Saccharomyces cerevisiae S288C: one gene and its partners. Changing the gene in region 2 together with the main gene of any one other region gives a genetic interaction. Each region holds a gene or a part of one and is shown on either strand. Other genes may lie near its edges.

The links.
Region 1: mutations in YGR153W (region 2) and SDT1 together harm fitness more than expected from each alone (negative genetic interaction), as found in Saccharomyces cerevisiae (one large-scale study listed by BioGRID).
Region 3: mutations in YGR153W (region 2) and YLL054C together harm fitness more than expected from each alone (negative genetic interaction), as found in Saccharomyces cerevisiae (one large-scale study listed by BioGRID).
Region 4: mutations in YGR153W (region 2) and PDR11 together harm fitness more than expected from each alone (negative genetic interaction), as found in Saccharomyces cerevisiae (one large-scale study listed by BioGRID).

The regions. Positions count from the first base shown.
Region 1 is NC_001139.9:75,011-81,700, forward strand, and holds SDT1 (nucleotidase), read right to left. Parts: upstream 3,848-6,690; coding exon 3,005-3,847; downstream 1-3,004. Other genes in the region: VRG4 (GDP-mannose transporter), read left to right, coding at 1,884-2,897; Golgi transport complex subunit COG1, read right to left, coding at 4,102-5,355; EDC1 (Edc1p), read right to left, coding at 5,649-6,176; NIF3 (uncharacterized protein), read right to left, coding at 6,416-6,690. UniProt on the Saccharomyces cerevisiae protein: Could be an enzyme that inactivates 6-azauracil by modifying it.
Region 2 is NC_001139.9:792,605-799,095, reverse strand, and holds YGR153W (uncharacterized protein), read right to left. Parts: upstream 3,005-6,491; coding exon 2,351-3,004; downstream 1-2,350. Other genes in the region: cystathionine beta-synthase CYS4, read right to left, coding at 1-553; GTO1 (omega-class glutathione transferase), read left to right, coding at 1,228-2,298; Ras family GTPase RSR1, read left to right, coding at 3,604-4,422; CCM1 (Ccm1p), read left to right, coding at 6,043-6,491.
Region 3 is NC_001144.5:30,585-39,276, reverse strand, and holds YLL054C (uncharacterized protein), read left to right. Parts: upstream 1-4,072; coding exon 4,073-6,604; downstream 6,605-8,692. Other genes in the region: FRE6 (putative ferric-chelate reductase), read left to right, coding at 1-1,944; AQY2 (Aqy2p), read left to right, coding at 2,916-3,365; YLL053C (uncharacterized protein), read left to right, coding at 3,316-3,774; YCT1 (Yct1p), read right to left, coding at 7,573-8,692. UniProt on the Saccharomyces cerevisiae protein: Required for growth on non-fermentable carbon sources.
Region 4 is NC_001141.2:325,526-335,732, reverse strand, and holds PDR11 (ATP-binding cassette multidrug transporter PDR11), read left to right. Parts: upstream 1-3,290; coding exon 3,291-7,526; downstream 7,527-10,207. Other genes in the region: thioredoxin peroxidase DOT5, read right to left, coding at 204-851; TIR3 (Tir3p), read right to left, coding at 1,197-2,006; YIL012W (uncharacterized protein), read right to left, coding at 2,381-2,722; alpha-1,3-mannosyltransferase MNT3, read right to left, coding at 7,738-9,630; YIL014C-A (uncharacterized protein), read left to right, coding at 10,207-10,207. UniProt on the Saccharomyces cerevisiae protein: Transporter involved in the uptake of sterol.

The DNA of each region.
Region 1 (6,690 bases), 720 kb from region 2:
ATAATTCCACGTTGGCGGCATCACTACAAGAGTAGAATGGTTGTGGTGGTAATGGCACAGAAACCTCCATCGCTACGTCCACACTTACGATGAGTGGTATACCTATCGCTACGATAATGAAGCACAGAAAAAGTGTACTTATCATATTACCGCAACTATGTACGTGAGGTGTAAATTATGGCTCTCATAGGACATAAGTAGGACAGAAATTGAAATTTTTGTGTTGGCAGAGCGAAAGAAACTTGAATTCGTTTATGAGGAATAAATTCTCAGCTCCATCCATGGTTCCAGTTGACGCTATGATACGCAAATTCCTTTGTGATACAGGTATCATTTCTGCAATTCCTCGTAGATTGTTGATCATACCATAAGATTGATGCTGGGGAAAGTGGAGAAGCTAACTTAACGATTGAGGCCTTGGCAAACCCTGTTAAACCAGTACTATCGGCCTTAACATGCGACTTAGAGAGAGAGAGAGAGAGAGATGTTTGCGTTTGCGTCATGATAGAGATGCTACATCCACATAGTTGTTGTAGACATGTTTAAAGGTACAATTCTGCAACAACGCCTTGAAATTTTCCAAAACTAACCAAGCACATTGGAGTTACGCTTATATAGTAAGCCACTTCACTTGCGTTGCTGTAAAGGTTGATAACTACAGGTAGGAATTAATGAATGTTAAATAAAAAAGGGAAATACCATCATCTCGACAAGAAAGGCAAAATAACTTTTCAATCTCACCAAGACGCGCGAACGAAACTCGTGCGTCTATATTAGTATCTTGACGGCGCTTTTACATCATTAAAGGTGTAATAAAACTGAAGTCATGCGATGGCACTGAAATAATCAAAGTAACTATTTGTGATGGCATGCACTGTGATATGATCTCAAGGAAAAAAATGCAATGTCGGGCGCCAATACTTATGATCATGCTTAGTCTCGACATTGACCTTGCTTGCTACAGTAATCTGGTGTCCGAGTAGTGACATCTAGGTACCGGTGAGAACTATATCTTCATTACTACACTTGTCGCCCCTGAATATTATCGCTACACACGCGAAAGAGCTCTTGTTAAAGTTACTCTCGCATCATTGCGGTACATGTTTTGCATATTCATCTGAAGTAGGAAAGGGTATAAGCAGTATATGATGTACCATCTGCATAAGCGGTGTTTAATGCGTACCTATCGTTTAAGAACAAAAGGAACACACCCACACCCGCTCCAATACCATATTGAGAGAATAATGAGGTAACATATGCTTCTATTTGGTTCGATAAGACGGCTACTAGTCCAAAAAAAGTCAAACAACAATTTCAACAGCTACATTCTGAAGATAGAACGCATTTTTGCCTGAATATTGCAACTCAATAGACATTCTAAAGTGCTACGAGAAAAAAGCTTGTAATGGACCATGGCAATGTGCGCCATATATATATGCGGCTCCCTTATGAGTAGAAGAAAATATATGACTGGTGGTACAAAGTGGCATGGTGGTATATAGATGTAGGAACACCATTTGAGTTTGCCATAATGATTAAATTTCCCTTTTTATAAAGAATTAGCCGCCCATAACACGAAAAATATCACAGTTGACGAAAGAAGACACGTCGCCTAAACGCGTAATGAATCGCAATATACGAAAAGCTAAACGGGTTTTTCAGAATCCTCTTACCCAGCCTTGGATAATAGTTTTGGCCGAAAAAAAAAAAAAGAAAGAAAAAAATTGAAATTTCGCGATCCGAACAAACAATGAACAGAAAAACAGAATATATATAACGCTGCCAAGCCTATTTCTTGTTGCCGATTAATTGTTGACATCCTCTTAATTACCAAAAGAGCCTAAGAAAACAAACACACTAACCACACAGTATCTTTCGCCCGAATGTCTGAATTGAAAACAGGTCATGCAGGCCATAACCCTTGGGCTTCAGTTGCCAATTCCGGTCCGATCTCTATTTTATCCTACTGTGGTTCCTCTATTTTAATGACGGTGACTAACAAGTTCGTCGTCAATTTGAAGGATTTCAACATGAACTTTGTCATGCTTTTCGTGCAATCTTTGGTTTGTACTATAACCTTGATTATCCTACGTATACTGGGCTATGCGAAGTTCCGTTCATTAAACAAAACAGACGCCAAGAACTGGTTCCCTATTTCCTTTTTACTGGTCTTGATGATCTACACCTCTTCGAAGGCTTTACAATACTTGGCTGTTCCAATTTACACCATTTTCAAGAATTTGACTATTATCTTGATTGCTTATGGTGAGGTTCTCTTTTTTGGTGGCTCTGTCACCTCCATGGAATTGTCATCATTTTTGTTGATGGTCCTTTCTTCTGTCGTTGCAACTTGGGGTGACCAGCAAGCTGTGGCTGCCAAGGCTGCTTCATTGGCTGAAGGAGCAGCCGGTGCTGTTGCCTCCTTTAACCCAGGTTATTTCTGGATGTTCACCAACTGTATCACTTCTGCATTATTCGTTCTTATAATGAGAAAGAGAATTAAGTTAACTAACTTCAAGGATTTCGACACTATGTTTTACAACAATGTTTTGGCTCTACCTATTCTATTGCTGTTTTCTTTCTGTGTGGAAGATTGGTCTTCAGTTAATTTGACCAATAACTTTTCTAACGATTCGCTAACTGCTATGATCATCAGTGGTGTTGCATCCGTCGGTATTTCTTACTGTTCCGGTTGGTGTGTTCGTGTTACTTCGTCTACTACATATTCGATGGTAGGGGCTTTGAACAAGCTGCCAATTGCCTTGTCTGGTTTGATTTTCTTTGATGCTCCAAGAAACTTCTTATCTATTCTCTCCATTTTTATTGGTTTCCTATCAGGTATTATTTATGCTGTTGCCAAACAAAAGAAGCAACAAGCCCAACCTTTACGTAAATGAGAACTTACGGGGGGTGCAATTTATTTTTTTTTTTTGGTTTATTTTATTTTATAGAGGCATCTAATGCAAGTAGATTTATATACAATTATACTTAAAATTGATATACCTTAGAACAGGTCGGACACAACGTGTGGTAACTCCAATATATCACTAATGACAATAGCGCCTTCTGGTGTTTGCCCCAAAATTTCATTTACTTCATTCTCAACTAAATGAATACATGTTTTCATGCCCAATTTGATACCTGTCTCGATGTTTTTCCCACTGTCATCTATAAAATAAGCATTCTCGTATCTTGCCAACCCGCTTTCCTTCATGGCTTTTTCAAATGCTTTAACATGTGGTTTGCAGACCAGCGTATCTGTCCTAGAGTAGTCACAATATGTCAATCCATCAAATAAATCCGCTATACCCAACAATCTCAGGCAACGTATTGCGTGGTTTTTATAAGCGTTGGTGAAAAGCCACAATTTATCAATCTTTCCCGATTGTCTCAATCTCAACAGCATATTCCTTAATGGTATATCAGGTTTCAAGATATCTTGTAGTGGTAAGGAATCATCCACAAGCCGGTTATATTCCAGTGCGTTCACTTTGTGGAACATTACAAGTCCCCTTATGGCAAGTCCATACTCTTTGTAGTAAGAGTTATTCAAAACGTGAGCATCTTCAGGTGATAGTTTCAAGTGTGTTTGAAAGAACCTCAGTATAGATTGTTGCATAAGATCGTGAATTCTCGTGGATGATTTATAGAGACAGTTGTCGATATCAAAAAAGAAAACTTTTAAGTTCGGGTTTTGAGGTGTAGCAGAAATATCTTGATCGATCGGAAATGTCACTTTCGAACCTGGATGAGTCAATGATTCAAGATGTGCTTTATTCTTGGCAATTTGTTCGTTCACCTCATTCTGATAGGTTGCCAAATCGGATGCAGTATATTCAACAGTCATGAAGCCTAGTAATGATTCGGTCCAAGAGCTTACTCATGTATTCCGAAATTAATTCAGGTGAAATGGGGGAGTAATATGATATCAAGAAGGCGATCACTTATTGAAGTCCACATAGATACACACAGATAAACATATATATATTATGTATATATATATATATATATATATATATATATATATGTATATATCAACGCCCATACCATTATCATTATCAATAAGTTTGCGAGGCGGGTACCCTCCCTCGTGCTATTATATTACTGTTGCCTTAATTGAGTAATTTGATCGATGACTAATTGCAAGAGATTGTGATTGTTGTACGAAGTTATAAAATCATCCACAACACTCGTTGAGTTTTCCAGTGGTGAAGGTAAGCGGGATGAGATCTGAGTCTTAAACTCTTGCAATTGAGTAATCAATTTATTTCTCAAATCTGTCAGTGTCTCTTGAGGGCATTTATACAATTCTAAGTTTTGTAGGATTTCAATCGTAGGCTGCACCGTTTGATAAATTTGCAACGTGGTATCATTGGTTAAACCTTTTGAATAGAATACCGCTGTATCAATATATTGTTTCAATGCATCATCATCAAGTGGAGATACAGTGCCATCATTGAGGTTCGTATCATTATCATGGAAGATATCTAATTTATGAAGAGTTTCAGGCTCCTTAAGCTTGGCTCTCAAAGTAGAGAGTGTATCCAAATGTGTGTTTATTTCTTTCACGGTTCTCCGAATGAGATGGTCTCTAAAGGTGGACGAATTCACAAAATCGACAACAATCGCGTCCTTATATTGCTGATTGGAGTGATATTGATGATCTTTGCTGTTGGCACTTGATATCAGTAACGCTTGAACGTTATCGTTAAATAGTGTCTCGAATAGGGATTCATTGAATATAGAAAGTAAATCATCGTCCCACTTCGAGGAAAACTCCGTGTTTAGTAAATTGTATAGTTTTACCCACTGTAGTAAAGTTAAGTTTAATGTCTTCATAGAGTCCACCAAGAACTTCTGTAGTCGACAACATTTGTCCTTGACAAGCGCTTCAAATTTGGAAGGAACTGGTATCAAAGATAATTCGTGGAAATTCAACAGTAGCTCGTCGAATATCCGCGACGGAGTAGTGGAAGTAACTATACGATTACAGAAGTTGTTGATGGAGATGGTCCAATTTGAAATTACTAAAATGTTTTGCGATGGTATGCTGACTTTTTCTTCGTCACGAGGTGGTGATATATGGGTAGTGGTTTGGTATGGTAGTGGAGTTAACTTATTCAACTGAAATTTTTCATCATTGAAACACAGGGATTTAAAATCTTGATCAACATTTTTCAAATTGAGCGACAAGTCATTAACAGAATCGGTCAAGCTTAAGATCTTGTTATAGTTCTTTAGCAAATTCTTTTGGAAGGCCTCATTGGTTTTAGTCAAATCGTTCTGTAACTCCAATTGATAATCTTTAATCTGTGGAATATGAGAATCGCGAAACAATGGTAAGACTTCATCCATTTTCTATCGTATTGGTTTTTTTTAGGTTTTCTACCACAAGATTTGTTGTACGAATGTGTTATTTATTATTCACCGCCATGTTTCATTTTTCTTCAGCATAATGATGAACTGTAACAGAAAATAGGAAAAAAAAATTGTCATCTGAGAAATTGCTTTGGATGACCAGATCCAAAACAGACATAAGCATTCGTATAATTGGTACATAGGTATATATCAAATAAAAATATGCATTATTCTAAAAAAAAAAAAAAAAAAAAAAAAAAAAAAATCAAAAATGTCTCTCTAAAGGGTGATTATAAAAAACTTGGTTTGGGCAAGTTTTTAGCCTCCCTTGGACCATTAGTGGCGAAAGTGGAGCCTGCATAAGAGTGACTGAGTTTTTTGGCACTGCCATTACAACCCATTGGTATTATCCCTTGAGAGCCATGCGGGGATTGTTTCTGGTTCAGAAGCAGATTCTTTAGGTTCTGACTCAGTAAACGAGTATCATCTTTGTTGTTCTGTCGTGGCGTTTCTTTATTATTCTGTCTGTTTTTTTTACCTAAAGTAGTTGTAGAGGAAGGGGAAGAAGGTGGAGAGTGCTTCTTTTGATTAAATGATGGTTTCTTGTTGGAAGAATGGCCGAAGTTAGGTTTCTGACCGTTAGGAAGAGTTTGAGGAGGTGGTATATCTGTGATATAGTTGTTATTATTGGCGTTCTTAGCAGCATTTCCCCTCGCACGATTATTTCTAGTTTTTTGTTTGATTAGATTATTTGTCTTGTTCCTGCCAGCCGATGGCAACAGCCTGGAGCTGTTGAAATACATGGTATCCGTCGACATGCCTTGTAATATTTGTGTGAGTATATTTGTGTGCTAAGTGTAATTACGTTACGCTTTGCTGAGTACTTCGTCTTCAATACAGAGTATGTTATTGTCCTTGTTATTTGAAGACTTTTACCTTTTCTATCCGTATTTCTCTATCCGATACAACAACATCATTTTACACGAACAGCCGGATGATAAAACTGTAGTACGTATGGTATTTGTGATATCCTATATAGCCATATAATTACTAGCAGCTATGCAACAGTCAAAGGATCGCAATCCATTTTGCTTACGACTACTTCGTGGCCCTCATCTTGCAACAAGCCCTTCATAACGTCTTGAAGGAATCCACGCTCAGTATTTGAGTGGTTGCAAACAATAACGGTCTTGCCCATTTCTTTCCACTTCAGTACTTCATGATGTGACATTTCTCCCGTATAGTAAAGGTCTACGTCCTCTTTTAGTTGCTTAAACACGCCAGAACCGCTCCCGGCACAGACAGCGACTTTTTTGATTTTGAGTTGATTCC
Region 2 (6,491 bases):
ATAAATTCAAGTCTTCTAGCTGTCTTTGGATTTCGCGACCAGTACCAAAGTAATGAGCTTCTGGGTTCATCATATTGTTATATTGGTCAAGTATAACAGCACCAGGAATCTCTTTTTCCAACTTCTTAGCAACACCAATATGTGATTCTGGAGAATCCCAGGCAGCAGCAGTTGGAGTTCTGATGATTTCAGCACCCAGAGCCTTTAGGACAGAAACTTTCTCGTTAGACATTTTTTCCGGCAAGGTGATGATAGTTCTGTAACCTTTGATGGCGCCGATTAAAGCTAGACCGATACCGGTGTTACCAGAAGTAGGTTCGATCAGAGTAGATCTGGAAGGATGAATTCTACCGGAAGCTTCAGCTTCTTCCACCATAGACTTGGCAATTCTGTCTTTGATGGAACCACCTGGATTGTATAGTTCCAGCTTAGCATAAATTTGTGGTTTGATACCCAAAGCCTTAGGCAATTTTTTCAGTGCGATCAATGGGGTGTTACCAACTAAGTCGATAACGTTATGTCTTGAATCGGCTTGCTGCTCAGATTTAGTCATTTTTATTCTTACGTCGTATTTATCTAGATGTCCTTTGAGCAAGTGGCCTACAACGAAATCTTCAAGTGTTGCCTTTTACTTTGGCATAGAAGCATCACGACATTTATATATACAAGCCTGGTGAAGTGCCTTGCGTTTACTTTAACCTTTAGGAGAAAAAAATTTTCGGTGTTGGTTTCTTTTTTTCCTTTCGGTGCAAAACTGTGGAGGAAGATGGCAATAAATTAGTGAAACGGTAATGCCGTGTGGACTGCATATGCCGGATATAGCATTTATCAGTCACGACAGAGCTGATTATCCTTACTTGGGTGAAGTTGAAGTTGTTGTGATAAGGTTAGAATGCAAATGAAGCTTTGTCAGCGCTGAGAAAGAAAATTTTGTTTTGTGAGCCACTACTATCACGTGCCATTACCATTTTAATCAGTTATGAAATAGGGGAATGTGTCATTGAGGGAAAATGTAATGGCCACCAAATGAATCAGAGGGTCGGATGAGAACACACCCTTACTAACTGCTGTTCATATCTCACAGTTGCCATTGATAAGCTCTGGTGGGAAAATACCCTTGATTTTTGGTAGCACATATTGACATAACAAAAGTCTTGACTTTGCCAATTGGAGAGATGGCCACTTATAGAGGAAAATACTCGTAAAAATAATCATAAACAGTAAGCCATGTCAGTATCTTACAAGGGAACAATTTCTAAGACACATTCTGTTTTTAAACCAGAAAAAGGAAGGTATTATATTTACGGGGCCCTTGGGTGTCCATTCACTCATAGAGCCATTCTTGCCAGGTCTTTGAAGAAATTAGAACCTGTTCTAGGGCTTGTGTTATCTCACTGGCAATTAGACTCCAAGGGTGCCCGTTTCTTACCTGCTCCACACCGGCCGGAAAAATATAAAGAGAGATTCTTTACTGCCACTGGTGGCATTGCTTCAGCTAAATTAGACGAATCTGAGGAGTTAGGTGATGTGAACAATGACTCTGCAAGGTTGTTCGTGGATGGCGCTTTCGACCCGGTGGAAAATATATCAAGGTTAAGCGAGTTGTACTACTTAAATGATCCTAAGTACCCCGGTACAAAGTTCACTGTGCCTGTTCTGTGGGATTCTAAAACAAGGAAAATTGTTAACAATGAGAGTGGCGATATCATAAGAATTTTGAACAGTGGCGTGTTTGATGAATTTATCCAAAGCGAAGAAACGAACGTGATTGATCTAGTTCCGCATGATTTAATAGACGAGATTGATAAGAACATCAAATGGGTTCATCCGAAGATTAATCTTGGTGTCTATAAAGTCGGATTAGCAGAAAACGGAAAGATTTACGAAACTGAAGTAAAAACACTGTTTGAAAACTTGCAGAAGATGGAATGTGTACTAAAAGAAAATTATAAGCGCTTAGAGGAGCAATTCAGTGGTAACAAACAGAAAATCTTGGCTAAATATTTTGTTTTAGGACAGAGGTTAACTGAAGCGGATATCAGATTGTATCCATCAATAATTAGATTTGACGTCGTGTACGTGCAGCACTTCAAATGCAATTTGAAAACTATAAGGGATGGTTTCCCGTACCTTCATTTGTGGTTGATTAATCTATACTGGAATTACGCAGAGTTTAGATTTACTACAGATTTTAATCATATTAAGCTCTTTTACATCAGGATGGAAGTAAGTAGGAACAAGATCAATCAGTTTGGTATAGTGCCATTAGGCCCAAAGCCTGACATTTCTAGATTATGAAAACTTCTAATATTTTCTTACACACACATATATTTATATGCATGGCTATACTTCAAAAGAGGTTGTCACTTCCATTTCCATGTAGGTAAAACTCGTGTATAGACGGAACACAGACTTCCCTAGTTTTATTGACTTCATAGTCTCTGCACCATTCAATTATGTCTCTGTAAAAGAGACTCTTCTTTATATCGCCCTTTTCTATATTCTCCATCTCCAGTTCTTTGAAGCATTTTGCTTTTCTCGATTTATGACAACCACACGGTTTTACACTCTCCTCTCCATGTTCTACCATTTCATGCCTCCAGTCAAAAAATGGTTGACTGTATTCCCTACTTGAATCCATACTTGATTCAACAAGGTAGTTTCTCGAATTCTCAGGTAGTACTGCCACCCTCCTTAAACGTTTCTCTCTTTGTCTTGCTTCCTTTCTTTGTTCTATTTTTGGCGGAATGGTAAATTTCACAGGATTCTTGGATCCATTCTCATTTTCATTCAAGGCATTTAAGTCCAAGGAAAATAACCGTATGCTCACGTTGGACCCTTCAAACGTGAAACTATCTTCACTCAATATACTTCCTACACCGCATTGTTCCTCGTTACTACTTGAATCCTGTATATCTGAGAGAGAGGTAAAAAATGAGTAGGTATCTCTTTCCCCCTCACATTCGTAAGTGCCGACTTCTTTATTCAAACAGGCCTTTCCCATTTCTCAAAGACCTCTTTTCGTAACCTATTTAGTAATGATGAAAAGTATTAAACAGTATTTTCAAGATAAGAATTTTATTATTTTGTACCATTTACGATACACATAAACCCCAGAAAAAAACAACTTTATGGGAAAAGGCGAATAGTACTCATAATATACAAGGTAAAAGCAGGCGTATCTCAGTCATACAGTTCAATAGAGAAAGGCATTTTTGGAATATCATACATTTTATCTAGCAAGTGGAAACAGACTGTATATTCCCAAGAATCATCGCCTTTTTATCACAACGTCAGCCTCACAACTAATTCGCGTCAAAGCGCATTCATCCTCGACATTCTCAAACGCGAAATATCGTCGAAAAAGGTTAAAAAGAAAAGAGAGAAGGACAGAAAAAGAAAAAAGTAAAGTAGAGCTCGATCTCGAAAAAAAGAACCATTGCGTTCGTTCTTAACTACGCCAAGAAGTTTTTGAAATTTCATCCTCTCCACTGAACAATAATACTATTATTTAGTAACGATATAGAACATTTACATACAACGTTCTAATATTTTGGCTTCTATCATCGCTTAGAAATATTTGGCTAGGAAACATTAGGACTAATGAGAGACTATAAATTAGTAGTATTGGGTGCTGGTGGTGTCGGTAAATCCTGCTTAACCGTGCAGTTTGTACAGGGAGTTTATTTGGATACGTATGATCCAACGATCGAAGATTCTTACAGGAAAACCATCGAGATCGATAACAAGGTATTCGACCTGGAAATTTTAGATACAGCGGGTATAGCACAATTTACTGCAATGAGAGAATTATACATAAAGTCAGGAATGGGGTTCCTGTTGGTATATTCAGTAACAGATCGGCAATCTTTGGAAGAATTAATGGAGCTAAGAGAACAGGTCCTTAGGATCAAAGATTCCGATCGCGTTCCAATGGTTCTAATAGGTAACAAGGCTGATCTAATCAATGAAAGGGTAATAAGTGTGGAAGAAGGTATAGAGGTAAGCAGTAAATGGGGTAGAGTTCCCTTTTATGAAACAAGCGCTTTGTTGAGGAGCAATGTGGATGAAGTGTTCGTTGATTTAGTTAGGCAAATCATTCGGAATGAAATGGAAAGTGTTGCAGTTAAAGACGCAAGAAATCAAAGTCAACAATTTAGCAAAATCGAGTCTCCATCAACCAGGCTCCCTAGTTCTGCGAAACAGGATACGAAACAATCAAACAATAAGCAATCATCAAAAGGTTTATATAACAAATCTTCACAAGGACAAGCTAAAGTTAAACAATCTACTCCGGTTAATGAAAAGCACAAACCGTCACATGCCGTTCCGAAATCTGGTTCTAGCAACAGGACAGGAATTAGCGCTACTTCACAACAAAAGAAAAAGAAGAAAAACGCTTCCACTTGCACTATTCTATAGTCACTTAATTTTATTATAAATGAATCAAGATATCAGATAAAAAGACTTTACTTGAAATAGTTTTATTATAGTTCTAAAAGGTTTAGTTTAAAGTATTAGCATACGTTGTATAAGTTTTTAAAGAAATCAATTAATAATGTTTGAAAATAAATTTAAACCCAAAAAAAATGAAATGTTAAAAATATGGACGCAACCGGAATCGAACCGATGACCTCTTCCTTGCAAGGGAAGCGCGCTACCAACTGCGCCATGTGCCCGCAATCTATGGGATTTTACGGTAGATGCTGCGTTACGTATAAAAAATATTAAATGAACAGATCCACACTCTCGTAACTAAAGCTCACACTGTAGTTTCTTATAGTTTATGTTGATTGATATAATTAATTCAGAGGGTCTTTAGTCTCAGATATACTTCGCAATTACTTAAAAGAGTAATCGTTAATGTTTTCCCTCCAACATAGTCGTTATCGTTTAGCGTGCGTTATCAAGTTTCAACGATGACAAAATGATTGATTAATTAGTCCATTTTTCTTTCCTATCTAGTAAAATCAAAGTGTTTCTTCTCAACCTGAGATCTAACTCACTGTATTGATATTGAAAATCTGAGTAGTCTTCTAAAAAGCACAGAAATTAGGCCGATGTTTTCGACTTCATATCTCGTCGTGAGGCTGTTTCGCACGCCTTTTATTTGTTTAGATCGGACATTTAGGGTGATTCATATCAGGTCATATTGCGGCATCTCATCTCAAGAATAAAATAGAATTACTGTGTTTGACAATGGTCTATCGTCCACTGATGGAACAAAAGTCGGGAGCAATTCTTGTAAATGGAAGAATACAAAATGGCCACCAGTAGCGGTGAAAATGGTTTAGTAGTCATCCCTCCTTTAATACGAAACATTCAGTGGGTCTCCGTGAACGTCTCTATTCTATTTTCGATAATCGATCCACTGACTCTCAGGCGCTTCTTATATTATCTTTCTCGATATTATAAATCAGCCGATACAGGGTTACACCAAGTGTCTTTACATAATCCTGACTATCATGACCTACTTCCAATCTTATCATCTAAATGACTGTACATTCGTTCTTCTCTCATAATGCTTGCTTGCTTGTGAAAAATGGGTGAATAATTGCATTATTGTTGGGATTCCACTGTTGATAAAGATCACATATAACATTATGGATAAGGAATATACTAGAAACTCTCCTCCAGAACATAGCGCCCACAAAAGGGAATCGATATCTCTACATAATGCTATTATTTTTTCTTCCTTGTCGCACATTATCTTACTTCATCATCAATCCTCGTGTCTCTGCTTACATTAAGTTTGATGACCGTTTCTCAATCTTTATGACATCTTCTTACACAGTGTATTGCAAAGTACTAGTAATATGAATTCAAATCGATCGATGGTAACTGATTCTTATTGCAAAAGATCTGCCTTGCTCTAACCTTTTTTCTGAGATAGAGAGTTAGCTCTACTTCCACACCAATATCTGAGCGTCGGACAGGATTGTGAAAAATTGGAGGCATAAAATGTAAAAGCAAAGCCATAGTCCATAGTGCACAGGAAAATAGCATTGTTTCACAAGTCCTAACAGATAGATAAATATAAACATGTACATGGCCAGATGTGGCCCCAAGAATAATGTGCTGTGTTTCCCATTTCAACTTTCCTTTCTATTTTCAAAACGACTAATAAATAAGCGTTTCAAGTATACCCTACAAACTGAAGATGAAAAGAATATGATGGGGAGTTTAAGTAAAAATAAAATAATAACACCTGAAGACGTTGAGTTCAAATTAGCACAATTACGAGAATTTTCTAATACTTTAAAAGAACGCATTCACAACACTAAATCGGTGAATTCAGATGGCCACCAAAGCAATAGTATCGCACCAATCTCAGAAGACTCAAGGAATGTTAATGTCACCAAAACATCATCTGTTCCTAATGAAGAAAAATCCAAAAATCTATCAGATTTGATTCATTCTTCGTTTTTAGAAAAAATGGATCACCTCGTACCAAAAGTTATAAGAGAAAGAGTAGCAGACGACGACATACT
Region 3 (8,692 bases), on a different chromosome or scaffold from region 2:
TCACCAGCGTTTGATACTTGGTCACTTTGTATCTTCAATTCGCTTACAGACCAGATTATTCCCATGGACAACACAAGTTTCGAAGAAAGCTTGGGTAACGTACGAAAAACGTGCTCGTTTGTCGATAAAAAGTTTAGCAATATTTCACTGGAGCAATACTACTCATCTTTAAATAATGCTTCTTCTCACGCTTTGGAAGACTATGGTTCTATTGAAAGTTTATCGACATCCATTCGAGTCGATCGTGAGACAAGATCTAGATGGATACGAGCTTTTCATGCGCATGCCTATAATTTAGATATCAGCAGTGTTTATGGTGCATATTTAACTTACTACTTCGTCATAGTGGGTATTATCGCCGTCTTCTTCCATATGAGTCACTATAACGGCCTGAATCGAGCGCTATTTGCAAGCCGGTTCGTCAATTATATTCGGGGCCATTTTGTGTTGCCTACGTTTTTAGTAGATAAGCACGCTAATCACTTCAAGTTTCTAAACGTGGAAGTCTTTACGGGACTGATGCCGAATTCCTTGGAGGCATGGATCATTTTTGGATACACATTGGCGAACATCATATTTTTGTCCATAAGTTACATCATAGACCCATATAACCTCATTTTCAACAGTCACCTGTCGCAGTTTACAAGACTGTTGGCTGATAGATCTGGGATACTGGCGTTTACTCAGTTCCCTCTCATTATCATTTTTACGGCAAGGAATAGTTTTCTCGAATTTTTAACAGGAGTCAAGTTCAATTCCTTTATTAGTTTCCATAAATGGATCGGTAGAATCATGGTCTTAAACGCAACGATACATTCGCTTTCTTATTCATTATTCGCAATTATCAACCATGCCTTCAAAATAAGCAACAAACAGCTCTATTGGAAGTTTGGTATTGCATCCATAACAGTGCTTTGCGTTCTACTAGTTCTATCGCTCGGAATAGTAAGGAAAAGACATTACGAATTTTTCCTGTACACCCACATCATACTAGCCCTTTTGTTCTTTTACTGTTGTTGGCAACACGTCAAAATTTTCAACGGTTGGAAAGAATGGATAGTGGTATCCTTGCTCATTTGGGGGCTGGAAAAGCTTTTCAGAATATGGAACATTTTGCAGTTTAGATTTCCGAAAGCAACACTAATCAATTTGAACACCAGCAACAACCCGCACGATGAAATGTTTAAAGTAATCATACCCAAATATAACCGGAGATGGCATTCGAAACCGGGTCAATATTGTTTCATTTATTTTTTACATCCATTGGTATTTTGGCAATGCCATCCATTTACCATTATCGACGAAGGTGAGAAGTGTGTTTTAGTGATCAAACCTAAAAGTGGTCTCACTAGATTCATTTATAACCATATTTTGCAATCTTTAAATGGTAAATTACAACTCCGAGTGGCCATTGAGGGACCTTATGGGCCCAGTAATCTTCACCTCGATAAATTCGACCATTTGCTGTTACTAAGTGGAGGAACAGGCTTGCCTGGTCCATTAGATCATGCCATTAAGCTGTCACGAAACCCTGATAAACCCAAGAGTATAGATTTGATCATGGCGATCAAAAATCCTTCTTTTCTTAACGGCTATAAATCCGAGATACTAGAGCTAAAAAATAGCCGATCCCACGTCAACGTGCAGGTTTACCTTACACAGAAAACAGCTGTTACAAAGGCAGCAAACGCACGAGACCAATTAATACATTTTGATGATATAATGACCGAACTGACAAGCTTCGCCCACATCGGCAATGCAAGACCTAATTTTAGCAATGTAATTGAAAACGCAATAAAAAGTACGCCGCCTGGAGATTCATTAGCGGTCGTGTGCTGCGGCCCTCCTGTTCTGGTGGACGATGTTAGAAACACCGTTTCTCAAAAACTCCTCGGTTACCCAGAGAGAATTATAGAGTATTTCGAGGAATATCAGTGTTGGTAAATCTTCTCTCCGGCTCCTTCTGATCCTACGCCCACCTATATCTACATATATCTACGGCACTAAAAACTTTTATGTACCGCATAAAAGGTGCTCTTTAGCAACTATTTTTAGTTAATTATTTGCGTTTTAGCTTTCAGGAATTTGCTTGCTAAGACGATGTCTAATAAATCCGGTACTTCTTTACTTGCAATTAATTACTAAGCGGCGCCTGAATTTTTCCGGCTTGATGCCGAGCAAAAATTAACTCTAAATCCCTTTCTGGGAACGAGTCTTTGAAGTTCTACGGTCTTTTGTCTCAGGAAAATATGTCCCGAGAAAGATGGAATAAGTATGGATTTTGTCCTTAACCAGTGGAGGTGGCGCTGCAGTCCTTCTTTTCAGACCCAAGCAAACAGACCAAAGGACATTTTTTTGGAAAATGTTAAGAATCAACCCTCCGAAATCTTTTCACGGCTCAAATTACTGCGGCCTTTTTCTGCTTCTTAAAAATGGGAGCATGATTATTTAATTAGCATTGCATCTGCGTGCACCGTAACTACTACAGTACTTTTACTGCCGCTGAGACGACAGCACGATCTGTTTTAACGTCGTAGGTGTATTTTTTTTTTTCCCGCTAAAAGAGCACCGCCATAATAATGACTTACCTCCTCCAATCCTTCTAGATGTTTTTCTTTAAACTCCTACAGTGAATTAGATTATTGCAAGTGCAAATTAAAAAAAAACCTAAAAAAAAAAAAGAAGGAAATAGTTTTTGTCCATACCGGACTATGGCTTTCATTAACGAATTAGAGCGCCGCTGTTATCCTTTTATTAACTTTTTATCGTGAATCATATCTGCCCCTCTCTCGGTTGATAGTATAAATATGTTGGTTTTAGTAGCTTATTAGTGTGCGCATGTCTTTTTTCTTGTTCCTGGCTATTACAATTCCTGAAAATATTCAAAAGCGACACTAGCCTACCTTAGTTATACTATGTCTAACGAATCTAACGACCTTGAAAAAAACATTTCGCACTTGGACCCGACCGGTGTTGACAATGCTTATATTCCACCTGAACAGCCGGAAACGAAGCATTCGCGTTTTAATATTGACAGAGATACCTTAAGAAACCACTTTATCGCTGCTGTGGGTGAGTTTTGCGGTACCTTCATGTTTTTATGGTGTGCTTACGTCATTTGTAATGTCGCTAACCATGATGTGGCTTTGACAACCGAGCCTGAGGGCTCTCATCCAGGTCAATTGATCATGATTGCCCTTGGTTTCGGTTTCTCTGTGATGTTTTCTATCTGGTGTTTCTGGTGGGGCTTTGAACCCAGCCGTTTCTCTCTCTTTGTGTTTGGCCAGAGCCATCTCACCAGCCAGATGTGTAGTGATGTGGTTTCCTCAGATCATTGCTGGGATGGCTGCTGGTGGTGCCGCTAGTGCTATGACTCCAGGCAAGGTTCTCTTTACTAATGCTTTGGGTTTAGGCTGTTCCAGATCTAGGGGGTTGTTTTTGGAAATGTTTGGTACTGCTGTGTTGTGTTTAACAGTTTTGATGACTGCTGTTGAAAAACGTGAAACTAACTTTATGGCTGCGCTTCCAATTGGTATTTCTTTATTCATGGCTCACATGGCTTTGACCGGTTACACTGGTACCGGTGTCAACCCTGCAAGATCTCTGGGTGCCGCCGTTGCTGCCAGATATTTCCCTCATTACCACTGGATCTACTGGATTAGCCCACTTTTGGGTGCCTTCTTAGCCTGGTCAGTGTGGCAATTATTACAAATCCTTGATTACACTACATACGTTAATGCCGAAAAGGCGGCAGGTCAAAAGAAGGAAGACTGAGAGTAGTCTGCTCAGAATTTTATCTTTTTTGGCATAACGCTCCCATCGTAGTTTAATTTAATTTAATTTAATTTAATATAATAATATCTTATTTTTCATATTTACTGTCCTTTATTTTTTTTTTGTTTTTATCTCTTCTGGTCAGAGTTCTGTTTTTACGTAAGCGGCAGAAGTATGCATTCTTCACATTTTTTCCTCCTAAAGGCAACATTGAGGCCAAACTTTGGAAACAAAGATGATGTGAAGTAATTATTTACCCATCAGAAATCTATGACAAGATAAGTGTACTGCACTGGATATGAGCATTGCATCTCAGAAAAAGGTTAAGCCATCGTTTGTTTGCTTGCGGTGTAAGCAAAGGAAAATCAAATGTGATAAACTTTGGCCTACTTGCTCCAAATGCAAGGCCTCATCCTCGATTTGTAGCTACGAAGTGGAACCAGGACGGATTAACAAATCTCCCACTATCGAAAATGCCCCACATAGAGACATTAGAAACATTACTCCTGCATCGATGTCCGCAAGTGGTTCCTTTACTTCCATACTTAATCCAAGTACTAAAGACTGGGAAATGAAAAATTTTGCCATGAATTTATCGAATGCACACGACAAGCTTGTTGTAATGAATAACACAACCATCGTTGATAGTCCTTTTGCCTTCCATAGCATTCTTCAACATGATTTGTATGCGAAGGCCTTGACCACCTGCATACATGAGAGGATACTGATTGATGTCGAACGCCATCGTGAAAACGTTTCTGCCAACAATAAAAAAAGAGAACTTAACTTAACAATCGGTGATATTGGACCTTTGTTTTTTATTGATAAAGCTGCACTTAAATTTATTGAAAATACCTCAAAAACAAGCAAATTGTATCCTCCAATAGATTTTCTGTATAACACGTATGATTATGAACAAGCGCATCCTGAAGAAAATAATGATAAAATTTCCATAAACATCCTTTTGGAAGAGTTATCCAAATATTTCCTCAATAAGAATGAGGTTGATGGCTTAATCGTGGACTTTTACAAAACAATATATCCGGTCTATCCGTTACTGGAAATATCATTATTCGAAGATAACATAAGGGAGCTGTTGCAATTGAATGAATTTAATGGGTATAACATTGTATTTGCGGGCAAAGACTCTAGAAGAAAACTGGAGACAATAACACTGCTAACTATCATATTGGCTTTTTCTTACAGACGTTTGAGTCTAAGTACTAGTCATTCATTTAAAGAATCTTTTGGTGTAAAATCGAATAATTTAACGCTACTCGCTCATAAACTTCTTGCTCTCATGAACGTTTTTCAATATGTTAATGAACATACACTTTGTTGTCTGCTCTATTTTTTCATATTGCGGTATTTGAATCCAGATCAAGCTGACATGTATCCTACTCACAGTGACATACTAAACCTAAAATTTTTGGAGAATGTAGCAATAAAGCTAGGACTGAATGAAGAACCCTTCCAATACACTCGATACGTCAGCGAATCGGACGATTATCCAAGATTATTCAATTTAAGAAGGAAATTATGGCTTGGCGTGCAATTTTTGAAGTTTGGAATATTGATTCCAGAAGGAGATTCTGACATTCTAAGTTTGGAATATTTAAGATCCTTTATGAAAACTGACGAATCTCTACCAGAACTATTTGAGAGAAATTACGCTTCTACTAATAATCTAGACTTATCGTTGATGGCTACAGCAGAGAATATCTATCATTTACATTTATCTTTACAGGTATTACTGACTTCTTGTTTTCCAATAAATGGCCCTTCCTACTTGAAGGAAGTATTGGATAACATCGACAAGACAAAAGATTTTTTAAATCAGAAATTCCCTCTCATTTTAAGTTCTCTTGGAGAACCAAGGATGAAGAGCTTACATATCAATGTTCCCTCTTCCTTAGCAAATGAAGAATCTTTTGACTTTAGCACTTTTGAGGAAAATGAAACATTCATAGCTAATGTGATTAGCTACACTTGTACAATGAACATCTATGATAGCTTATCTTTGCATTTTGAAAATCAATGTTTCAAAAACGCTTTGGAGTACAAAACATATTATCACCGCTTTACTTTTACCGCTATACAAGATTATTTAACGTTGCTAAAATTAATCTCGGAATACTTTAATGGATCTCTTCTGCATTTACGGGAACCTTTTGGGTTTGCCACTCAGAAAGTTGTTCGCTTTTCGATACATCGATTACTCATATTCCAGGCCACCTTGCTCGTGAGATTATTTTATAAGAAGGATACATGCGACAGATCCTCTGCAGCCATGGGAATGTTGAATGATAGAAACGGAAGACTTAGTCGAGTCATTGAAAAAATGATCAAGTTGATGTCATATCATATGAAATTACTTGTAGAAATTGTTATCTCGAAACTGGAAAAGAGTTATCTCGGTTCGTTCATTTCTGTCTCTATTTTCAGGTATATCATTTATTTGGTGGATACTGACGCGCTGTCTGCGTTTATATCCGACTACTGGAAGAGTGACGCCGTTATGGATGAAAGATATTCAAGAATCCATAGGATTGTCGGTTTAAAATGGGGTATGGGAAGGGATAAGTCCTTTTCGTTCACATCAAAATTAAACAATCCACAATTCTTGGGAAGTCTTGATTTGGAGATTTTGGAAGAATTAGAAAAACTCATTTCCGCACAAGAATTTTCCAGAAACTTCACTGAAGATGTTGACGAATCTTTACAGAGTGAAATTGACCTCATGAATTATGACAATGAAGCCTTGAATCAACTAATGGCAATTGATCTTGATAAGCTACTTGGAATTTTCCCTAACCTGAGTAACTTTTGAGGGGAATACAAATTTGAAAGATACGAGGAGAAAGTTAGTAAACTAATGCTACTTTTAGTCTTCTATTTTTTTCGCAAGCACGATCATATAATCAATACCACACAAAGATTTTTGGTAGCTACGGTCCTAAGAAAATTAAATTCCCTCTCTAATCTGGGTGAGACCGGAATCGCATCAGGTCTTATTAATATGGGGTCAATTTGAAGAATTCAAACTATTTTTTAAACTGTTGTGACAATTCTTTAGCACAAAGAGTTCAATTTTGAAAATCTACCAATGTATATAATTTTTGCCGTTGTATTAGACAGGTTGTGCTCACTGTATATAGTCTCATTTAATAAATTTTTTTTTTTGAAGTGCAAATACCCTCAGTTGACATTCCAAGAACTATGGTTACCCACGAAAAACATCAATATGTTTTGAATTGTTATGTAAATTATCATTTACAAATTTTCTGGGCATATTGCATACCGAGGTATGTAATTTCAGCAAACTCGAGTGCTGCTTTCCATCCATACGGACAACTCAAGAACAAATGGGTACAATATAGTTGTCATTATTATGGCAAAAATATTGAGGGTTCAAAGGTTTTGCGTATTTTAACCACAGGCTAGAGGGGTTACTAGTCTCTGTCTTATAAAATGTTAGATTATAAAGTACAGAGAACAAATATCTACATGTTTTTTATGCTAAATTTGAAAGTTTAGGTGATTTATTTAAGAAAAACTAATCTTTAATGGACTTTTACCGGCTGTTTTGAAGAAATTGTCAAGAAATTCCTCTATAAATTTATTCAATTATCTATTATTTTCTAAGCAGTAAGCTATTTACCATTGTAAATGATTCTTTGGGAAATTGTGCCTTTCAAAGAGACACAGTTCCTCTTTCTTGCAGCCGGAAAGTTTAAAAAATTAATTTTCTAATTATTAAGTGTCAGATAGAACATTTACACAACAAAACATCAATATTTACAAAGGATATATAAAAGTTTCGTTTTCTAAATCAGTCAAATCAAAGACTGCCAAATTGTTCTCGTGGGTTACCACTTTCCCTTCTTCAATGGAAGAAGGATTTTCGCTTTCAATGAGTTGAATTCTGTCCAAATAATTTTGTAAATTTTCGTCATAATTTTTTAGTCTTTGATTATTCCTTCTTTTTAGTATGAAATGGATCAGTAACAAAATGGCTGGTGCAAGAGAGAATGATAAAACGATTTGAACAATCCAGGCAGGTAAAAAGCGAGGAGAGTCCTTCTCTCTCCATATTTGTGGTGATATGATATTAGCAATTCCCATCGCAAATAAGGACACCGAACTTCTTGTGAGTTTTTTGGTGTACCCAGATGCACTTGAACTTGCCCAGCTAAGAGCTATAATAAAAGGAATACCAAATATTTGTCCTGCCATACAGATATTTGCTAAGATACCAATCTTATTGTCCCATGGTAAAGCAGCTGCAGCGATGGATCCCACCAATGCTGGTAAAGTCCAAAAGATGGCTGTTAAAGCTGAAATATTTTTCCATTTTGCTAACATCAACGTAGCGATGAAGGCACAAACGACGGCGAAACCAGCACCGGCAACTGATACCAATGTCGAACCTAGAGCATCAACTCCACCCATTCCTTCAAATAGCAGGTTCTGTTGATAGGGCAGATTGTTGGCTAACTGTTGAAGAAGAAAAAACAATCCAAATAACCAGGTTATATAATCTTTCATTGCCTCTCTGAATTGACTCTTTTTGAAGACTTTTTGTTCAATGGAAGAGCCTGTGGATGCCTGAACTCTCCTGATAATCCATACCCTTTCTTGTATTGAAAAGAATTTCACATCAGCAGGATTATTAGGAAACCACAGAATTACAACAACCGTCATGATAAAAGTCAAACCACCAATGATGATAGTGAATATTTTCCATAACGAAATGCTGGGATTTGTTATATGAAGAACACCATAAGCAATAAACCCAGTTGGAATTGGAGACCCCATACATGCTGCAAAGAAAAATGGCTGAGCAGCAGCTCTTTCTGAAGCATCGAAGAACATACCCATAGTGGTAATTAATATCGGGATAACAACACTCTCTGTT
Region 4 (10,207 bases), on a different chromosome or scaffold from region 2:
CACGATATTTGATATTGATCAAGTCGGATCGTTAAGTACTTTCCCATTTGTATATAAATATTTATGACCTTCTGCAGGCTCGATATTTTATAAGTGTGAGAGAGTTAGAATATCTTCGTTTATCTACATATATAAAGGGAAGGGTTTGGAATATTTTACCGATAAGTACTCCTCTAGAGAAACAAAAAGGGGGTTATTAAACTTCATTCTTCTTTAAACTTTTCAGCGACTTCTAAAACCTCCTTTTTGGCGTCATTTACACTAACTTCTGGTGATATCTTAACTCTTTTGAATTTTAACTTCCCATCAACAAAAATGAAATGCGATCTAATAGAACCAGAAAGTGGCGTTTTTTTGGCTCCTAGCAACCCAATAAACTCTCTCTTTGGATCGCTTAGTAAATGATATGGCAAATTTTGTTTACTCTGAAACTTTTTCTGGGATGTCACAGAATCTGCACTCAGTCCAAAGACAGCAGCATATTTCTTGAGTTCCTGGTAATTGTCACGAAATCCACAGGCCTGTCTAGTACAACCAGGCGTGCTTGCCCTGGGATACACAAAAAACACCACAACTCTGTTATTTTCGGTGATTTTCTTCAAGGAGATAGAGTCATTATCTTCATTTAAAAGACTCAAATCAGGAATAGGATCGCCTATCTCTAATTCGTTAACATCAGATGACCTATTTGCCTCTTGAACTACTGCTTGATTAGCGTTATGTTTAGGACCCGTCTTGATTTTCTTCTTAGGCACTTCCGGTGTCGAAATAGGGGCCAGTTTGGACTCTTCCTCTTCCAACATTCTTTTGGATATTGCAATCCTGGTTGATCTACGTAGTGCTTCACCCATTCTATTAAGGAACTTTAATATTACCTGTATAAAGCTCGTAGTATTACTTCATCCAGTGGATGTAATAACAATGATATTTCTCTTCCCTTTTCTATATCTTTTTTTTCTCGACGGCTGCTACATGGCACAGCCGTCTGTGGATTTCATGCTCTTGCTCGAACATTCCTTTTTTTAATGTACAGCCAAGTGTACATTACAAGAGTAAAGAAAAAAGTGTGAAGAGAAAGCAAATTAAGTTTGTATTATCTAGGAGACAGTATATTAAAATAGGATACTAATATTCAAAAAGTGTATATTTGTTTTTTTACATATAACATTTTATAATTTATCATTAATAAGTGACAATCATAAGAGCATAGCAGCGGCACCGGCAATAGCGGCACCAACACCAGCGGAGAAGAAGCCCATGTCCATAGCTGCACCAGCGTTCTTGGAGGTAGCAGAGGAGGAGCTATTAGTAGATTTTTCTGCAGAAGAGGAGGCCTTTGCAGAAGAGGAAGCTGCAGAAGAGGCCTTGGAAGAAGCAGATGAAGCAGCAGATGAAGCAGCAGAAGAGCCAGAAGACTTGGCAGAGCTAGAAGACTTAGCAGCTTCAGAAGCAGAAGAGGAGGCAGCAGAAGAAGATTCTGAAGCAGAGGAAGAAGCAGCTGAAGAGGATTCAGAAGCAGAAGAGGAGGCAGCTGAAGAGGATTCAGAAGCAGAAGAAGAAGCAGCTGAAGAGGATTCAGAAGCAGAAGAAGCGTCTGAGGAAGCAGTGGCAGATTCGGAACCAGATTCGGAAACGGTTTGACCTAAGGAGGTAATACTGATACCCGCGCTTTGTAAAGCAGCGATGATTTCAGGTTCCAGTCTAGAAGAGTACCAAGGCACTTGAACCATGGCAGTGGTGATTTGAGCAAAGTCCATTTCGGTGAAATAACTGGTGTAGGAATCATCAGTAGCAGTGGTCATATGTTGGTAAACATCCAAAACACCAGATGGTAGGGTAAAGTCTGGATTATTCATTGCCAAGGACATATATTGTTCCAAATTGGCCTTGACATCAGCCAAAATAGCGTCAAATTCGACGATTTCATATTGTCCAACTTCAGCAGAAACCAATTGAGTGGAGGCAGCGGCAACAGCTAATAAGGCAGCGATTTTAGTGAAAGACATTGTTGTGTGTGGGCGGTTGAACAATTGGATCTGGGGAACACTAAAAAGAAAAAATCAAACAACCAGCAAGAAAATCTGCAGTAGAGAAAGGAAGAGGAGACGAAACGCTTATACTCTCCACCAAAGAATATATGTATATATATATTCATATGTACGTATACTGCCTTCTCAGACGGAAATCTGCAATCCATTCTAGGGCCTTCTAAAAAAAAGCCTACAGAAATCATGGTAAACAGGAACAATGGGTCGCCTTAAGGCACGCATATCTAAGAAACGTGTGCAGAAGCGGTAGGGTACACGTTCCTATCGTTCCATTTGGAGTCTACACACGTTTCCAACCTCTGCCTTCAGTCACAGTTTCTGAGTAACCTCGCTTACAAAAGAAATTTTTTTTCCCGCAAGGCGAAGTACGCCTCGTATAAGGCCAATGTCTCGTATGGGTGATGTAGGGCAGAAGCCAATGTCTCGTTCAAATGAAATAATGAGCTAATTAGGCTCCAAGTTTTACCACCTATCTGACGATTCTCTCTCTGCGTATAAGAAAAATGTTGAAAAAGCAACATTTTGCGCCAGGAAAAAAGCCCAATCATGGAAGTGGTGCAATACACATTCCAACTTACACACCGAGATTCTCCTGTCGTTATATTTCCACTTTGACGCCCCTTTATGCATCTTACTAATATTAGCTGTTCGAAGTACAGCTTACCTAGGCACATGTACTTTATCTCTCGAATTTTCCTGCTCAGTTTCTCCTACTCAAGTCTCTCCTAGTCTCTAAGGGAAGGCACCGTCTAGGACAGTGCCGGGCATCCTTTATGCAAGGGATATCCCCCCGCAGCCTTCTCCGTCCGTTTTCGTTTAGGCACTTCGCACAGAATTCACCGCAGAGAAGCGCCACATAGACGGCCACTTTTGTTTCCTACAACTTCCACTCTATCGTTTGGGGCCCGTGCCTTCGACTTTTACTCCATTGTGCTGCGGTTTTTGTTTGGCCTCGAACTTTTCCTGTCTGCGGATCTCCTGGTTTGGAAACAAGCTTTCCTCCATAGGCAAAATGGATACTACGGTACGAAGTATTTTCCGCAGATCCTGCTCTCACCTATATAAAACAACATACAACATCGTAAAGCTCTCTGCTCTTTTAGCTATTAATAGTATTATCACACACTTAAACCCTTTTCTCATTAGTTCGTAAACGGGTTGGTAAAAAGAACTTGCATACTGTAGCAAAAAAATTCACAACTAAACACGATAGAGTAAAATTAGAGAAGCAACGCCTCGCGGATGTCTCTTTCCAAATATTTTAATCCAATTCCTGACGCTTCAGTCACCTTTGATGGGGCTACCGTTCAATTGGAAGAATCCCTCGGTGCTGTTCAGAACGATGAAGAGTCCGCATCGGAATTCAAAAACGTAGGCCATTTAGAAATTAGTGATATCACTTTTCGTGCTAATGAAGGTGAAGTCGTCTTAGTACTGGGAAACCCAACATCAGCGCTCTTCAAAGGTCTATTCCATGGTCACAAGCATCTGAAATACTCGCCTGAAGGGTCTATTAGATTCAAAGACAATGAGTACAAACAGTTTGCTTCCAAATGCCCCCATCAGATCATTTATAATAACGAACAAGATATTCACTTCCCGTATCTGACGGTGGAGCAAACCATTGATTTTGCGTTGAGTTGTAAGTTTCACATTCCCAAGCAAGAGCGTATTGAAATGAGAGACGAGTTATTAAAAGAGTTCGGACTGTCGCACGTAAAGAAGACGTATGTGGGTAATGACTACGTTCGTGGTGTTTCTGGAGGTGAAAGGAAACGTATCTCCATTATAGAAACGTTTATTGCCAATGGGTCTGTTTACTTATGGGACAACTCGACGAAGGGTTTGGACTCTGCCACCGCCCTAGAATTTCTTTCCATTACCCAAAAGATGGCAAAAGCTACAAGATCGGTGAATTTTGTTAAAATTTCTCAAGCAAGCGACAAAATTGTCAGCAAGTTTGACAAGATTCTTATGTTAGGTGATTCCTTCCAGGTGTTTTACGGAACCATGGAGGAGTGTTTAACCCATTTTCATGACACCTTACAGATAAAAAAAAACCCTAACGATTGTATTATTGAATATTTAACATCAATCTTAAATTTTAAGTTCAAGGAAACGTCTAATTCCATTGTTGGTCTTGACACTCCATCTGTTGTTTCTGAAGAAAATCAAGCTTTAAACATCAATAATGAAACAGATTTGCATACATTATGGATTCAGTCTCCATACTATAAACACTGGAAGGCCATCACTTCAAAAACAGTGCAAGAATGCACCAGAAAAGATGTTAATCCGGATGATATCTCCCCCATTTTTAGTATTCCGCTAAAGACGCAACTGAAAACGTGCACTGTAAGAGCTTTCGAAAGAATCATTGGTGACAGAAACTACTTGATTTCTCAATTTGTTTCTGTTGTGGTGCAGTCTTTGGTTATTGGGTCCCTTTTTTATAACATTCCCCTGACAACAATTGGTTCGTTTTCTAGAGGATCTTTAACTTTCTTTTCCATCCTATTCTTTACATTTCTTTCTCTCGCCGACATGCCTGCTTCCTTTCAAAGGCAACCCGTCGTTCGTAAACATGTCCAGCTCCATTTTTATTATAATTGGGTGGAAACTTTAGCAACAAATTTTTTCGATTGCTGCTCTAAATTTATACTGGTGGTTATTTTTACAATCATACTTTACTTTTTGGCCCATTTACAGTACAATGCAGCTAGGTTTTTCATCTTTTTGCTTTTCCTTTCCGTCTATAATTTTTGCATGGTGTCACTATTTGCATTAACTGCTTTGATCGCTCCAACTCTATCAATGGCAAACCTATTGGCCGGTATCTTACTGTTAGCCATTGCCATGTACGCGTCCTATGTTATTTATATGAAAGATATGCATCCATGGTTCATATGGATTGCATATTTGAATCCTGCTATGTTTGCCATGGAAGCCATTTTGAGTAACGAATTGTTTAACCTGAAACTAGACTGTCATGAAAGTATTATTCCCAGAGGTGAATATTATGACAATATTTCATTCAGTCATAAAGCTTGTGCCTGGCAAGGCGCTACCCTAGGTAACGATTACGTCAGAGGCCGTGATTATTTAAAAAGTGGATTGAAATACACTTACCATCACGTGTGGAGAAATTTCGGTATTATCATTGGGTTTCTGTGTTTCTTCCTATTTTGCTCTTTACTAGCAGCGGAATATATCACGCCTCTGTTTACTAGAGAAAATTTATTGCGCTGGAATAACTATCTCAAAAGATACTGTCCCTTTCTGAATAGCCAAAAAAAGAATAATAAAAGCGCTATTACCAACAACGATGGCGTATGTACTCCCAAGACCCCGATAGCCAATTTTTCCACTTCATCCTCTTCTGTTCCATCAGTCTCGCATCAATACGATACTGATTACAATATTAAACATCCAGATGAAACTGTTAACAATCATACTAAGGAATCCGTAGCTATGGAAACGCAAAAGCACGTCATCTCCTGGAAAAATATCAATTATACCATTGGAGACAAAAAATTGATCAACGACGCTTCTGGATATATAAGTTCCGGATTAACTGCCCTAATGGGTGAATCTGGTGCTGGTAAGACAACTTTGTTGAATGTCTTGTCTCAAAGGACCGAAAGCGGGGTTGTTACCGGTGAATTATTAATCGATGGACAGCCCTTAACGAATATTGATGCATTCAGAAGAAGTATAGGGTTCGTTCAACAGCAAGATGTTCATTTAGAGCTCTTAACTGTGAGAGAGTCTTTGGAAATTTCCTGCGTCCTAAGAGGTGATGGGGATAGAGACTATTTAGGAGTTGTTAGCAACCTATTAAGATTGCCTTCGGAAAAACTGGTTGCTGATTTATCTCCAACTCAAAGAAAATTATTATCTATTGGTGTTGAATTGGTCACTAAGCCTTCTCTGTTGTTATTCCTAGATGAACCTACTTCAGGGCTAGACGCCGAAGCAGCTTTAACCATCGTGCAATTTCTGAAAAAGCTTTCGATGCAAGGTCAGGCTATCTTATGTACTATTCATCAGCCTAGCAAAAGTGTCATCAGCTATTTTGATAACATCTATTTACTAAAAAGAGGTGGTGAGTGTGTCTATTTTGGTTCATTACCTAATGCCTGTGACTATTTTGTAGCTCACGATAGACGCCTAACATTTGACAGAGAAATGGATAATCCGGCTGATTTCGTTATTGACGTTGTTGGTAGCGGAAGTACAAATATTCCAATGGATGATGCAGAGAAGCCAACCTCAAGCAAAATTGATGAGCCAGTATCTTACCATAAGCAATCTGATTCAATTAACTGGGCAGAACTCTGGCAATCCTCTCCAGAAAAAGTGCGGGTTGCTGATGATTTGCTTTTATTAGAAGAAGAAGCCCGGAAATCTGGTGTTGATTTCACTACGTCCGTATGGAGTCCGCCTTCGTATATGGAACAAATAAAGTTAATCACAAAGAGACAGTACATTTGTACCAAGAGAGACATGACCTATGTTTTCGCTAAATATGCTTTGAATGCTGGCGCTGGACTATTCATTGGATTTTCATTTTGGAGGACAAAGCATAATATCAACGGTCTGCAAGATGCTATTTTCTTGTGCTTCATGATGCTTTGTGTTTCCTCCCCTTTGATCAATCAGGTTCAAGATAAGGCTTTGCAATCTAAAGAAGTATATATCGCCAGGGAAGCGAGATCTAATACTTATCATTGGACCGTTCTTTTGATTGCTCAAACTATTGTTGAATTACCATTAGCCATTTCCAGTTCTACCTTATTTTTCCTGTGTTGCTACTTCTGTTGCGGTTTCGAAACCTCTGCCCGTGTAGCTGGTGTCTTTTACTTGAATTATATTTTATTTTCCATGTATTATTTGTCATTTGGGTTGTGGCTTCTATATTCTGCCCCCGATTTACAAACTGCCGCTGTCTTTGTTGCCTTCCTCTATAGTTTCACAGCTTCATTCTGTGGCGTTATGCAACCATACTCGTTATTCCCAAGATTTTGGACATTCATGTACAGGGTTTCACCATACACGTATTTCATTGAAACTTTCGTAAGCTTACTTCTCCATGACAGAGAAGTAAACTGCTCGACAAGTGAAATGGTACCAAGCCAACCTGTAATGGGTCAAACCTGCGGTCAGTTTATGAAACCCTTTATTGATGAATTTGGTGGGAAACTGCACATCAATAACACATACACCGTCTGCGCCTACTGCATGTACACTGTTGGGGATGACTTCCTTGCTCAAGAAAATATGAGTTATCATCACAGATGGAGAAATTTTGGTTTTGAATGGGTTTTCGTTTGCTTTAACATTGCCGCCATGTTTGTGGGCTTCTACCTAACCTACATCAAAAAAATTTGGCCTTCTGTGATTGATGGTATAAAGAAGTGTATCCCATCAATGAGGCGGTCCAAAACATCTCATAATCCAAACGAACAAAGCGTATAATCAGTGAATAGCGTTCCGTTAGAAAACATTCAAAATTACCTAATACTATTCAACAGTTCTTGTTCCTCATCCGGCTGCCTTCTGCTTTAAACTAATTGTTAATTTATTCCCAAATCATATTCTAAATTAATCTATAATCATTTTTCGGATTATATATGCTCCATACTTAATAAATATTAATACTCTCATTTCCTTTTCACTTTTTTTTTTCTCAATTAGCATTCCAGGTTCGAGAAATATCATTGATATATCGTAATTCCTTTTCAGTAAACGTGATTAGACGACCTTCGTCAAGTTCAGAGTTTGTGTGTCCGTCACCCGTAGCATATGCACAATACATATAATTAGAACATTCCTTGATTTGCATCCATGGATGAACAGAAACGTCAGGAACGATTAGTCCCTCTACGTTCAACGAAGCATCATATATCCTTTTTAATTTTGAAATGTCCCCATATCTACTCTTAAAATACTCTGGCTCTCTTCCAAAGTCATCTTCAGCACTGTTCGAAATTTTACAAGTCTTCAGTCCACCGTTTACCCATAGTAATCGATTTTTGGAGTCACTGTGTGCAATCTGCGTAGAACAAATGTAGTACATCCCGCTTTTATGTCCGTCATCATTTTCAGGCTCTTCATTAACAGGTCCAATAATACTGCCATCAACGGGATTGATAGAATAATCCTGGCCAGCATATAATTGCCCCAACCAGAATATTTCCTTGTCACCATACACACACCTCTGCAATTTTCCATCCAAATTTAACATAAAAGACATCAACAATCCATTTAATTTCTCAAGTTTATTGACTACAACCAAACCACTATCAACATGATGGAGTCGTAATTTTTTGAAAAAATTGTAATACACAGATGCTTCTTCTGAGGTTTCGGAAGAAAACGGTAATGACGAATCAAAAACTAACCTACTTCCAATAAATCTGCGTTCTTGTGCAGAGGGTTCCACTTCATTTAACATTTCGATGCAGTATTGGAAAGTTTGCTCGTTTTCCATAACCCTATCCTTGAACAAAAGTATCCCGCTCTCCCTGTAAGAAGGAGAGTCGAAAAAGTAATCAGACCCTACAAACGGTACTACGTCTGCATCCAACAAAATGTATTCTTCAAATGTGTTGAACAAAGTGGCGACCCATTTATTCTGAAAAAAAGAAATGTATGTATTAGCAAAATTAGTGTCAAGCACTGTCGAGCAGTCTACTAAGTAGACCCTTTGTTCCGTTTCTTTAGCGGTCTCAGAAATTTTAGCAATAGACTCTGCTGATAGTTCATTTCCCGTGGATACTATTTGGAATGGTAATTCGTTTTTTGAAAATTCCATCACTTTCAACTGTTTCAAAAATAAAGGAACATCCTTTTCAGCAATAGTTAAAACAAAACCTCTTCCTTTGCTCAACCTATTCCAGTTGGACCAAAAGTTACCATTAAAGTTTGATGATTCCATATCAACCTCGGGTGCCGGAACTGCCTCTCCAGTTGTCATGTCTGTGATAATAGGCCACATTACAGTTTTGGATTCCTCGTTAATTTTCTTCAGAAATGGAAACATTCTGTTTTGCAAATCATGAGGATTTACGGTTGAATTTGCAAATATTGCAGTAGGATCTAATTGACCAGATAAAAAGCAATAATCATAAGATCTTAATCTTTCCCCTAACAATGAGGCCAACGTGTTATCTACACCATCAACATTATAAAATTTTGCAGTTTGCGCATTGTCCCAGTCGGGATCAATCTTGTATAGTACTTCAAAAATGTAACGGCACTTGTCACTCTTCGCTATTTCATTATTTCCTAATTGCCTCAACAATACACGTTCTTTGTGAGAACTTCTACTCAAAAAGGGCAAAAAGTAGGCAGATAATCTGTTCATTAAGTTTTCGGATCTCACTTGGTGTTGTCGTTTTTCAATCCAATTGAATGCAGATGATTCAACAGCTGTCCTCTCGCTTGCATGGTTGTTTAATTTATTGGATGATGTAACATTCCGACTGGCAGAGAAAATGAGATAAGAAAAGAATAAAGAGAGCAGCAGTGTTACTAATCGTTTTAAGATTAGTCTTCTGGATTTTAATGATTTAAGCATGCTTAGGGAAATAGTTTTAGTAGACTGTCTTTAATTCCTTAACACCCCTCCTCGTACTCATGTGATGGAGAAAGGAATTTGATCAGTTCCAGAGGCACAATTTAAGTACTAAGACAAACAATGATACCAAATTAAAGAGTAGATTATTGCCACTTTTTGCGTGTAAATCAGAATAATTCCTCTTCAAAATTTTTTTAGACGAGATCATTAAGGTAATTTGCATTGTCGATACTTCTTCATTCTTCCGTATTTGAAAAAGATTCTCTTTCAAAGAAAAAAAATTGCTTCCAATCGGATTTGAACCGATGATCTCCACATTACTAGTGTGGCGCCTTACCAACTTGGCCATAGAAGCTCGTATTTTACGGTAGATGAGATTATCGCATAAAGGATATCATTTAAAATGTGGTTGCAAACAGCTTCCAAACATTTACTCGACTGCTTCTTACAAGTAGCTATGCACAAATTATGTACTATTTTAATGAGACAACAGAGCTAAAGGCAGAAAGTAGAAAAAAGTTCAAAAATTGAAGTTTAAGGCCTGTTTTATTTAACAGTCTGTTTTTCTGAAAAGAAA